Rattus norvegicus: one gene and its partners. The protein of the gene in region 3 purifies or fractionates together with the protein of the main gene of each other region. This does not show direct contact. Links are inferred from orthologs where the notes say so. Each region holds a gene or a part of one and is shown on either strand. Other genes may lie near its edges. The genes, in order: Polr2d, Raf1 and Pin1.

The links.
Region 1: the proteins of Pin1 (region 3) and Polr2d purify together in Homo sapiens (co-immunoprecipitation; 3 studies listed by BioGRID and IntAct, with this or other methods). This does not show direct contact. The link is inferred for Rattus norvegicus from reciprocal best matches to the Homo sapiens genes PIN1 and POLR2D.
Region 2: the proteins of Pin1 (region 3) and Raf1 purify together in Homo sapiens (co-immunoprecipitation; 3 studies listed by BioGRID and IntAct, with this or other methods). This does not show direct contact. The link is inferred for Rattus norvegicus from reciprocal best matches to the Homo sapiens genes PIN1 and RAF1.

Annotation. Positions count from the first base shown.
Region 1 is NC_086036.1:23,691,237-23,695,422, forward strand, and holds the start of Polr2d (DNA-directed RNA polymerase II subunit RPB4), read left to right. Parts: upstream 1-1,341; 5' UTR 1,342-1,396; coding exon 1,397-1,469; intron 1,470-2,808; coding exon 2,809-2,989; intron 2,990-4,186. UniProt on the Homo sapiens protein: Core component of RNA polymerase II (Pol II), a DNA-dependent RNA polymerase which synthesizes mRNA precursors and many functional non-coding RNAs using the four ribonucleoside triphosphates as substrates.
Region 2 is NC_086022.1:150,364,307-150,367,950, reverse strand, and holds part of Raf1 (RAF proto-oncogene serine/threonine-protein kinase), read left to right. Parts: intron 1-642; coding exon 643-745; intron 746-1,034; coding exon 1,035-1,192; intron 1,193-2,747; coding exon 2,748-2,846; intron 2,847-3,644. UniProt on the Homo sapiens protein: Serine/threonine-protein kinase that acts as a regulatory link between the membrane-associated Ras GTPases and the MAPK/ERK cascade, and this critical regulatory link functions as a switch determining cell fate decisions including proliferation, differentiation, apoptosis, survival and oncogenic transformation.
Region 3 is NC_086026.1:27,464,272-27,468,458, forward strand, and holds the start of Pin1 (peptidyl-prolyl cis-trans isomerase NIMA-interacting 1), read left to right. Parts: upstream 1-1,370; 5' UTR 1,371-1,376; coding exon 1,377-1,434; intron 1,435-4,187. UniProt on the Homo sapiens protein: Peptidyl-prolyl cis/trans isomerase (PPIase) that binds to and isomerizes specific phosphorylated Ser/Thr-Pro (pSer/Thr-Pro) motifs.

The DNA of each region.
Region 1 (4,186 bases), on a different chromosome or scaffold from region 3:
TACACAGCAGTTTTGTAAAACTCATTTTATTTACAAACCAAAAGACTACCTATTCTTGGACCAGTGAGATCATGCAGCAGATAAAGGCCCTGAGTTCAATCCCCAGAATCTATGCAAAACTGGAAACAGAGAACAAATTCCACAAAATTATCCTCTAATCTCTTCTGTGCACCTCTGTATATATAATAAAAATACATTTTCTTGTCTTGTAATAAATACTTCTATCAATTTTTAAAAAGATTTATTTTCTGTGTATGTGAAGGGTGTGTATGGTGTGTTTCACCTCCAAAAGAGAGACCAGAAAGGGTTTAGATCCCTTGTAGCTGAAGTCACAGGTGTTTGTGAGCCATCTGGTGTGGGTGCTGGGAAATGAACCCAGGCCCTCTGAAAGCATCAAGTGTTAACCACAGAGCCACCTCTCCAGCCCATTTTTTATTAAGTTACAGGGTTTACTAGTGTTCACTAATGACCCAAAAACTGGAGAAGTGTTTGTCCCCCTTATTGTATAGACTTTTGTTTCTCTTTAAATTGAAAATATCACTTTTTCATTTAGCTTTCTACTTATTCAAATGTCTCAACAGATATGATAAAGGGTTCTCAATATTAAACTTCACCTGCTCAGAATTGTTAAATACACAGGAACAATTTAACAGGATGGTATGTTACCTAAACTGGCATGGATTCTTGGGAATTTGCTAAGTAGCCACGCCTCTTTGTGAATTTTTTTTTTTTTTTTGAGACAAGATCTCACTATGTAGCCCTGGTTTTATATCACTTTGTAAACCAGGCTAGTCTCAAATTCAAAAGATCCACCTGCCTTTGCCTGCCTCGGGCATGCTAGGATTAAAGGCATGCGCCACTACAAACTGATCTCCTTCAACTCTTGATCCTCGCGCTCAGTGATTGATTCATTACCACCACACAGGGGTTAGTCTTTTTTTTTTTTTCTTAAGACACAATTCAATCATTGAAAGAGATTTCAGTATGTTTCTGTAGTCACCTACCCAGCTTTTCAACATAGGACATTCCTTGGATCAGCCACTTAGTTCAGTCCTGCACCTCACTTTCTTCTGAAATGGCTTACTTGACGCTCCCAGGTGCCACGGCAATAGTGTGTTGCCGAAAATAAACACTTTAATCTCCAAGCAGGCAGCACAGAACCACACCTCCAACGACCGGAAGCCGCTAGACTGCGCCCGGACCGCCCCTGTCGCGGGCAGTCTCGCGGGTTTCCCCTAGTGTGATAGCAGGGTGCCTGACCTACCGTCGTCCGCCCGCTTTCTCGGCCCCGCCCATTCACTTGGCCCCACCCCGGAGCCGGATTGGTTCTTTTCCTTAGAAGAGCCCGTCCGTGCGGCTTCCGTCTCCGGCAGTGTCTGTGGCAGTGCGCAGGGCGATGGCGGCAGGTGGAAGCGATCCTCGAGCTGGCGACGTAGAAGAAGATGCTTCCCAGCTCATCTTTCCCAAAGGTAGTATCCGGGACAGTTCGACTCTGAGGTGACATTGTCCTTGAGTTATAGTCGTTATCCGTTCCCTGCCCACAGGGAGCATTCGGGGCCGGCACGGGGGATTGATTGGTCAGCCCGGTACAAATGAACCCTTTCGTAGTTAATTCCCCTACACCCAGCAGTTTTGTTTTTGTGAGAGCGTCTAATTAGGTATCCTAGGCTAGCCTCCACCTTATCACATTCGTGCCCTTTCCTCTTGAGTGCTAGAATTAAAGGCATGCGCCATCGCTCTTGATTTTTAGGGGGAGTTAAGCTATGCCTTTTCCTGTCATGCAGAAGATCTGGAGCAGAGGTCTCATTTCAAAATTGGCAGCCAGTAAAAGCTGAGCTATGGTTCCTCTCACAGTGCTAGTCAAAGCGTTTCAAGATCTGTGGGTCAGAAGTGCTCTCTGCCCTGGCCTCTGAGGAGAGATGCTGTTGCCGTTGGTTTCTGAACCTTCGTTGTAGCTTTTCGAGTTAGGAAGAACGTTTGAGAGCAAGATGGGTTCCGGTTTGGGATGTCTGGTACTTCCTTTTGTCGGATGTGTGCCAGCCTCTGTGCATAGTGCTGTTCCTGCTACTAAACTAGTCTAAACTAGTCACCTTGCCCCAGGAAATCAATCCCCTGTCTCTTCCTACCAACTGTTAGATATAGGAACCCTCTGTACCTGTTTTGTGGGTTCTGAGGATCCTAACTCTGCTTCTTACACTGGAGTGGCAAGTACATTATCCACTTAATCATCTGCCCAGCCCCAGCAAGTGAGGTTATCTTCTGTCTTTTGTGTGTGTTTTTAATTGAGATGGAGAATCTTTGTTTTTAAATTTTTATATATAAGGATTATTTTGCCTGCGTGTAGGTCTGCATGCATGTGAGGTGTCCATAGAAGCCAGATGTACTAATTGGACTTAAAAGATGATTTCGAGCCATCTTGTTGGTGCTGTGTGTGGCAGAACCCTTATCCTCTAGAAGATTAGCCAATGCTCTTAAGTGCGGAGCTGTCGTCTCTCCAGCCCTTATGTCACTGTTGTAAAATTTATTTTTATTTTAATTATGTCTGTGCAGGTATCTGAGGAGGGGAGAGGTGCTATGAGGTGTCTGATGGGGTGCTGAGAATTGAACTTCCTTCGAAAGAGCAGTGCATGCTCATTTCTCTAGCCTTCTGGTTTCGTTTGTTTGGTGTTTTTGAGTCTCTCTGGCTATCTTACAGCTCATCAATAATAGACCAGGCTGGCCTCAAACACAGAGATCATCCTGCCTCTGCCTCCCAAATGCTGAGACTTTGAAAAGAGTATTTTCAGTTCACATTTATTCTTCTTCCAGAGTTCGAAACAGCTGAGACGCTCCTGAACTCTGAAGTTCACATGCTTCTGGAGCACCGAAAGCAGCAGAATGAGAGTGCGGAGGACGAACAGGAGCTTTCAGAGGTTTTCATGAAAACCCTGAACTATACAGCCCGTTTCAGCCGGTTCAAAAACAGAGAGACCATTGCCAGTGTTCGTAGGTGAGTACTGAACATAAGCCCAAAACTAAAATCTACTTATGTATGTGTTATGGGAGTTTGGCTGCTTGTATGTCTGTGCACCATGTGTGTAAACACCCACAGAGGCCAGAATAGGGCGTTAGCTCCCCAGGGCTGGAATTACGGACAGTCGTGAGTCACTGTGTAGGTGCTGGGACTCGAAACCCAAGTCCTCTGAAAGAGCAGCTGGTGCCCTCAGCTGCTGAACCGCATCTCCAGCCCTACAAAACGGTTTTATTATTATAGACTCTCGTGAAAGACAGAGGCTGTAGGATCCAGGAGTTCAAGGGCATCCTTAGGGGCATAGTAGGTTCAAAGCCAGCCTTGATTGCATGAGACGCTGTTTTAAAAATGCTAACAAAGCAGGGGCCGCTGAGATGGCTCAGTGGGTAAAACATGCTTCAGCCAAGAGGTGGTGGTGCACCCCTTTAACCCAGCACTCAGGAGGTAGAGGCAAGCATATCTCTGAGTTCGATGCCAGCCTGGTCTATAGAACAAACAAACAAATGCAACCAAAAGTGCTTTCTGGGTAAGTCTTAGGACCTGAGCTTATATAGAACCCCAGATGCACCCAGAAGCTCTGAGAATGAATGAGAAGTTGCCTTCTAAGTATGTATGCTTACGCACTTACACATACACACAAATGGCTAAATAAACAGACCACACACAAATACTTAGGGGAAAAACAAACAAACAAACAAAAAAACCCTAACTGGGTATGCCTTTAATCCCAGAATTTGAGAGACAGAGACAGGAGAATCTCTGTTTGACTCCAGCCTGGTCTACATAGCAAGTTCCAGGACTACATAGATAGAACCTGTTAAAAAAAAGTAATCAAGGGCTTGAAGCCCCCACCCCCACCCCCAAATTTTGCCTACCAGAAAAAAGGCTCTCAGACTTGACTCAGTCAAAATTTTCTCCACTGCATCACAAATTCTGGGGTTACTAGTATATGCCATCATGCACTCGCTGCCCTCCAGGTACGATTTCTTGTATTCATTTTTATTTTATTATTTTTTTTATTGGATATTTTATGTATTTACATTTCAAGTGTTATCCCCTTTCCAGTTTCCCCTCTGGAACTCCTCTATCCCATCTCTCCAACCCCTGCTTCTACGAGGGTGCTCCCCCACCCACCCACTCCCAGCTCACTGCCCTGGCATTCCCCTATACTGGGAC
Region 2 (3,644 bases), on a different chromosome or scaffold from region 3:
TCATTAGGAAACAATAGTACTTTAGACAGATGCCATTTCCCTACCTTGCATAGGGGATTATCTTAAGGAATGAATTATTGCTCTTTGGGTAACCAGGGGAGTGGCTTGTTGGCTTCTGGAAGCTGATAGGAGGGGCCTGAGTGATGTCATATGTGCGGTACATTTGGAAATATTCATCCTCAGCAAATGGGAAGAGGACCTGAACAACAGTTTTTGCTTAAATCACTATGGTTTCCTGTCTTCCTTGTTCTGGACACAGAAAAAGTGGTGTCAGTCAATTTTAAAGACTGTTGTGCTCCTGTAGACTTGTGTTTATTATAATTTCTACAACCAACTTTTAAGCCTGTAGGTAATGCACAGCACATGTGTTTGTGTTGTGTGTGTGTTTCAGGTGGAAGTAGGTGTTGAACACTGACCTGTAGTGGCCTGGTAGGATTTTAACATTACACAGTCATTCTTGTCATGGGATTGTACTTCATTGTTTAAAGGACACTTTTTTAGGAGCATACACTTTGGCTTATTTTTTGGGTGGAACCAGAACACCTGTGAGGTGTGCTTAGCCAGCATGCAGTAGACAGAACTGCTCTAATGTCTTAAGCCTTGTCCAGTGCTCTCTCATGTTATGCTTTGGGTAATTTTTAGTAAGAAAGCACGCTTAGATTGGAACACCGACGCCGCCTCTCTGATTGGAGAAGAACTGCAAGTGGATTTTTTGGATCACGTTCCACTCACAACTCACAACTTTGTAAGTTTCAGCTTCTCTCTTTCTTTGCCATTTTGGGCTCTCTACGGTAGATCGTTGACCTTCCTGAAAAGCCCTGGGTGCACATTAGTTGCTTTCAGCCCTCCCTGTGCTGTCATGTATAGCTGGTAGTTTAGAGTCCGCTAACAGAGGCCCCTTTACCCTGAATCTGAATCTGACAGTGTCGGAAGTGTGATTCTTCCCAGTGGGGACTCTTGAGGCTGGTGAAGACAGTGCTATATTTGCTTGTCACTCGAGTTCTCACAATCCTATACCTGCTTTCTTGTCACAGGCTCGGAAAACGTTCCTGAAGCTTGCATTCTGTGACATCTGTCAAAAGTTCCTGCTAAATGGATTTCGATGTCAGACTTGTGGCTACAAGTTTCATGAGCACTGTAGCACCAAAGTACCTACTATGTGTGTGGACTGGAGTAATATCAGACAGCTCTTGTAAGGCACTATGGTTTTTTTCTTTGAAAAACATGTGAGGGTCAGGTCCAGACACACTTTTGACGGTGTTCATTACACATTTTCAATGTTAAATCTGAGTTTTAGGTTTGCTAAATAAATGATTGCTGTGAGTCAGAAACAATCTACTTTAGAAGCATAATATAGTTCTGAAATTAGTTATTCTTAGTGTGGTGGTTGTCTAGCTGTAAAATAAACAGCTAGGGAGCTGGGGGCGGGGATGACTCAGTTGGTAAAGTGTTAACTGAGCAAGCATGAGAGCTGAGCTTGATCCCAGCCCTGACATCAAAGCTGGGCCCACAGTGTAATCTCTGAGTTGGGGAAGTGGAGACACAGCGGTAGCTAGCCTGGGGTTTGCTAGCCAGACAGTCTAGTGAGTCACTGAGCTCTAGTTTCAGTGAGAGATCCCATCTCAAAAACTATTGAGGAGGACTCCTAGCATTGACCTCTGGTACTCACACAGTCATATGAACTCAGACACAGATGCACAAACACCACCACAAGCAGGCAGGACCCATTGTCTGTCAAATTAATACTGACACTGCTTTGTCAAGGAGATGAACAGGGACATGGAAATTGAAGGGTGGGGTTTTCTCTCTTCACCTGGGCTTCAAGTGGCCAGGGCTGCAGGTTATATCCCAAGAAAGCAGAAAGTGGAGTTGGTGCTGCTTCCTTCCTCTCACACTGGGGAGCAATGTGTTTGGGCCTCAGACAGTTTGGGTATAAAAGGTTGAGACTCTCTCTGTTAGGAGATAAGCCAGATACAAAAATACATTTCACAGAGAGAAAATGATTTAAATGCATATTTTAAATTACACTTCTTAGAGACTTTTTAAAACTTGTGTTGAGATTATGAAAAGTCAGTTTTACCCTTATTGCAACATGTTCGGAAAATGAAAGGAATAACATTTTCATTCACAATGGGAGGGAACCTTTTAGCTCCCACAGAAGTCACTTGTTGGTTCTCAGAATACTCGAGTAGCAGAAAGGCATGTGCTTGTGGCCAGCGCACACCTCACACCCTTAGGACTGTCACTAGCACAAGTCTTCTCAGTTCCTTCATTTCAAAAGAGTTGGTGGGGATAACATGAGATTGCTTAGCACCAGGACTCAGCATTTGGAATGAATGTGCCTGGTTAATAGTAATCCCACTTCCCCTTCTGTTTTACTGTTGGTACTAAATATAATGAATTTGTGTGTGTGTGTGTGTGTGTGTGTGTGTGTGTGTGTTTCAAAGACAGCAGTTCCAGAAAAGCTGTATGTGGTAGAGGTTGTGAGATGTTGTTCTATCACTTAAGAAGCATTGTGTAGTGTAGCTGGACAGGACCACTTTTCTAGAGGTATACCCTGGCAGCTGGTTGCTGTCACTCAGCCTGTAATGCAGCCCTTCAGGTTGATGGTCTTCATAGTAGGTGACTGACTTTAGGAAAATGAATCAAGGGAAGTTGGGTTTTAGCTTTGGGTTTAGAGGCAAGGCAGGATGGTTTCTCTATGAGAGGACCAAATCCACAAACTAATCTTTCCCTGTTTCTTCTAGGCTGTTTCCAAATTCCACTGCAAGTGACAGTGGAGTCCCAGCACCACCCTCTTTCACAATGCGTCGGATGCGAGAATCTGTTTCCCGGATGCCTGCTAGGTAAGGTTTTTCTTTGGGCTTTTGGAAAGTTGCATTGATCGGCTAGGTTGTCAGCCTGAACACAAAGAAGTCCCTCTTCATGTCCTGTCTGCAGACCCTTGGCTGTTTCTGTGGAACACCAAGTACAGTGTTCGCCACGTTCTCTCTGTGGTCCCAGTGCACTTACATTCTGGAAAGTGATTTTGACGCAGTCCTTCTGTTACAATACCACCTCAATCTCACATTACACATATAAAAAGCTTGAATTCTGTCTTCTTCCCGTTGTGGTGAATTAAGCATCTGTGGAAAGGGTCCCCAAAGTGAGTATAGCAACTAAGAAGAAAGCAGGCCTGAACTTGTAGATGTTTCCCCAGGCTTAAGACCCGGGTAGTTGGAGGTAGATCTGGTTATGGTCAGAGTTCGCCTCTAACTTGTCTGCACTGCTTTCTGGCTCTAAAACTCCAAGTTCAGTGAGTTACATCAGTCAGTGACACGCAAGTATTTAGGACCTAAGGTAAAAAATCTACATTTTTGTCTAAAATGTCTGATAGATAATCAGCTATTATTTAATGATCCCCGTAAAGCTACTATAGAACTAAAGGCAGCATTCAGAACAAGGAATTTGTGCTGAAATATGTGTTTATGCCTGACTTGAATGAATCGAATCCTTTTTGGTAATTTGAACCACATTCAAGCAAAAAACAACTTACCTTGAAGATAAGGAGCTAGACTTAGACTTAGAAAACCTAAATGTACAATTCCTAATGCAAGGTGGCATTTCAGTGAGGGAACAGCCTTCCCTAAATAAGGCCAGGCCTG
Region 3 (4,187 bases):
ACTTTAGTTTGACCTTCAGAACCCCATGGTGGAAGGAGAGAACAGATTGCCACAAATTGTCCTCTTGATTACACAGCTTTCATGGCGGTATCCCTTATAAATGTAATAGTTTTTTAAAGTGATTTTTTAAAAATTCTTGAAACAGGGATTCTCTGTGTAGCTCTGGCTGTCCTGGAACTCACTTTGTACACCAGGCTGGCCTCAAGCTCAGAGATCTGATTGCCTCTGCCTCCTAAGTGTAGGATTAAAGGCGTTTGCCACCAGCACTAGGCATAAAGTAACATTTTAAAATTCTTATATATATGAATTGCCTGCATGTATGTATGAATGTGTACCACATGCAGGTCTGGTGAATTGAAAGGTCTAATGGAAGGGCAGCTAGTGCTTTAACCACTGAGCCATCTCTCTAGCTGTCTTTTTTTTTTTTTTTTTTTTTTGATTCGTTCATTCGTTTGTTGAGACAAGTTTCCTGTGTAGCCTTAGCTGTGCTGAAATTCACTTTGTAGAGCAGGCTGGTCTCGAACTCAGAACTGCCTGCCTTTGCCTCCTGAGTACTAGGATTGAAGGTATACATTAACACACCGTTTTCCTCAGACTACCAGTTGACTAAAACCGGTCGTTGGAGCCGCCCACCCTCTCCTACCCCCTTTCCTCGGTCTAGTGGTAATGCTCTCACCCATCAGTCACCTGCCTAGAAGTCAGGAGGAGCCCATGGAGAAGGAATAAGTCGAAGTAGGTTCTAAAAAAGACATGGAAAGTGGGTGAATAAACCAGTGAAATGGTTCGCCTTGCAAAAACCGAAAAGGACTGGTTTCGCTTTGGACATCTGGAGGAAAAGGTGGGAAGAAGAACTCAAAAGCCAAATTTAGGCTCTGAATAGTTAGCCTTTTGTCACCAAGGCAACTGCATTGCTATGGCAACGGCAAAGTACAGCAAAAGCACCCATGTACCTTAGTTCCAGCTGGCCACTTCCGCGTGGATTCTGGCGGACCTCCGAGAAAGGCTTGAGAAGGCCGGATTGGCTGCCGCAGGAGCCAGTCAAATAAGCACTATTTTATCGGCTAAGCGCACCAAAAAGGGTGGAGCGCCCTTTTGACGCTTAAAGGGAGCCGCTTGCCGGGTTGGAGCATCCAATAGACGTAGCTTCCAGACGAGCCAATCAGTAGCGGTGTTGGGAAGGTGAGGGTAGTGGGTGGAGGGTGTGTGTAGGGGTGGTCCAGGAGGCCGCGGGAGAGCCCAATAAAAGGCTCGAGAGCTCGAGGCGTTGTGCTGCCGTCCAATTGGCGTCTCGATTGGATGAGCCAATCAACAGCGGCGCTGGTCTGGCGCGGGGTCAGAGCCGCGGAGGCGGAGCAGGCGCTGCGGCAGGAGGGAAGATGGCGGACGAGGAGAAGCTGCCGTCCGGGTGGGAGAAGCGTATGAGTCGCAGCTCAGGTACCTCTTAGGGGTCGCCCAGGGCCCGGGGCGAGGCCTGGAGGTTGCGGAAGTTGGGCTTGAGCTCGCCTGCACAGGCGAGTCGCATCACCGTCCTGCTTCGGGCATGGAGATCTGGCCTCCTCCGCGGCATAACGGGCCCGGAAAGCCAGATACTGAGGTAGGAGGTGGGGCAGGCACAGGCGCGCCCCGGTTCTCGCCCACCACTGGGCCCCGGTGCTCTGAGGCGACGAGTCTGCACCTCGGAGTTCCCTTGAGAGGAAGATCGGGATTCGGTGCAGAGGGCGTGGGCCGCCCTGCTCTGGTTTCTCGGGCAGCATCCGAGACACGTGCCCGCTCATCCCCCTATCGGGACCCAGGGACAGTGATGGCTCCTAACCAGGACAGTTCGTCTCTGGGTCAAGCATGGTGCCAAACTCTTTGAAAGACTTCAGTTCTTTTACAAGTCTACGCCGGTGTGTGCTCCCGCTTCCCCTCCCCCTCTCCCTCCTGCCTTCTCTCACTCTCTCCTTCCACCCCTCCCTCTCTCTCCCACCCACCTCTCCACTCTTCCTCTTCCTCCTATCCCCACCTCCACCTCTGTTCCTCCATCTCCCTCTCCCTCCTCCCTCGCTCCCTCTCTTTTCTTGGTTCATGCTCTCCTCCCCCCCACACCCCGGTTGCTACCATCTTTCAAGAAAGGAATTGCTCTCATATTTCAAGAGGGAGAAACTGAGGCCAGACATGGAAAGAACTCATCTGATAATGCAGTTCAGTCACTGGGAATGCCCTAGATTGCAATGATTTTTTTTTTTTTTTGATCTCAAATGTCCCCTTCCCAGTGTCAGTGGCAACGCCTAGAGTAGCCTACAAGCATTTCAGGTAGCCAGGGTCAATGCAACCTACAGAGCTCACTCAAAATTCTTAGTTATTAAGCATCAAGGTTCTGGACACTGCATATGTTAACTCTCTGAACCCAGCTAGGTTTAATGTCATTCACTTTCCACCTTTTTATCAAGAGTGGATGTGGAAAGGCATTAGACAGAGCCTCATAAAGACAGGTTACTCTTGAATTCCTGATCCCCCTGCTTCAGCTCCCCCAAGTGCTGAGATTACAGGCATGCACCACTTTGCCCAATTTATTTATTGAAACAATCTTTACTAATAATATTAGTAATACTGTATTTAATGTATGTGCATGTGAAGGTCAGACAATCTTAACTTGCAAGAGTTTTCTTCCTTCTACCATGAGTAGATTGTGAACTCCGTCAGATTTGGCTGCAAGCACTTACCCATTGAGCCATTTTCCTTTCTAAGATGTGTGTGTTTGTGTGTGTGTGAGAGAGAGAGAGAGAGAGAGAGAGAGAGAGAGAGAGAGAGAGAGAGAGAGAAAGAAAGAAAGAAAGAGTGCGCAAGAGCGAGCATGAGCGCTCAGACGATACTTATCCAAGGATGACCTTGAACCTCTGGTGTTCTGCTGGGATTACATCACACAGAGGTAAAGTCTTGCTGTGTAGCCCAAGCTTGCTTCCAACTCATGATCCTTGTGCTTCAGCCTCTCACGCACTGGGACTAAAGTTATAAGCCTTTATGCTCTGATGTCCTTATTCTCTTGTCCCAGTCTACAGATGAGAAAGCTGAGGTTCAGGGAAGGTGACCTGACAAAGGTTTTAGTTGGATTTATCCCCAGAGGCTTTGGGCTGCTCCATTCCTAGGGTGGGGTTGTGACCTCTAGCATAAACTTGTCTCTAACTGGGTGTGGTGGCACACAGCTGTATTTCCAGCACTTAGGCAGAAGCAGGAGGAGATCTGGTTCATGGTTGTCCTGGGCTACGTACACTTTTTTAAAAAATACATGTATGGGTATTAGGCTTGCATGTGTATTCCATATGCATGCAGTGCCCACCAAGAAGCCTGAAGAGACAGTTGTGAGCCTCCACATGGGTACTGGAAATTGAACTCCAGTCCAATAGAGGAGCAGATGGTGCTGTTAATCTCCGGGCCATCTATCCAGCCCCCATAGTGAAACTCTTTTACACACACACACCCCTATACCTGCCCCTCTGCTTAGTTATGCTTGTCATTTGTTCTCAGTAGGACTATGAAAAGCCCTTCCTTCATGGGTAACATCCAGCTCTTCTCCTATGCTAGATCAGCTGTGTAACCCAGGTAGACTCAGCCCTTGGAGTGACCCAGAATCTACTGGGTCCTTCCTTCAGGCTTCTGCCATACCCCTTCCTCCTCTTTTACCTTTCACTTTTTTGAGTCCGTCTTGCAAACTTACTTTTACTGGCTTCAATCTGCAGACATCCATCCTCTTGCCTCAGCCTCCCTAGTGCTAGGCAAACAGCATGTTCCACTAAGCCAGAGTTTTCCCTTGAGGTTTTGATTTTCCATCTGTCTCCTTTATGCCCTCACAGCCACTCAGATGACATCAGGCCCTGAGTAATGCTACCCCTTGCTCTCTGACTTAGGCTACCAGTGCAGGGGTTAAGACTGGAGCTTTGAGGGCTGGGGATTTAGCTCAGTGGTAGAGCGCTTACCTAGGAAGCACAAGGCCCTGGGTTCGGTCCCCAGCTCCGAAAAAAAAGAACCAAAAAAAAAAAAAAAAAAAAAAAAAGACTGGAGCTTTGGAGTAACTTTCTCTGTTTATGCACAAGACACAACTGCTGCTGCTGTGAGCAGAGGAGGGGGAGGTGCTGCCTGGGTTTTTGTGGAACGAAGCAATGGGTAAAAACAGTTATACTCTACCTTTTGGTGATATGTGATCCTGG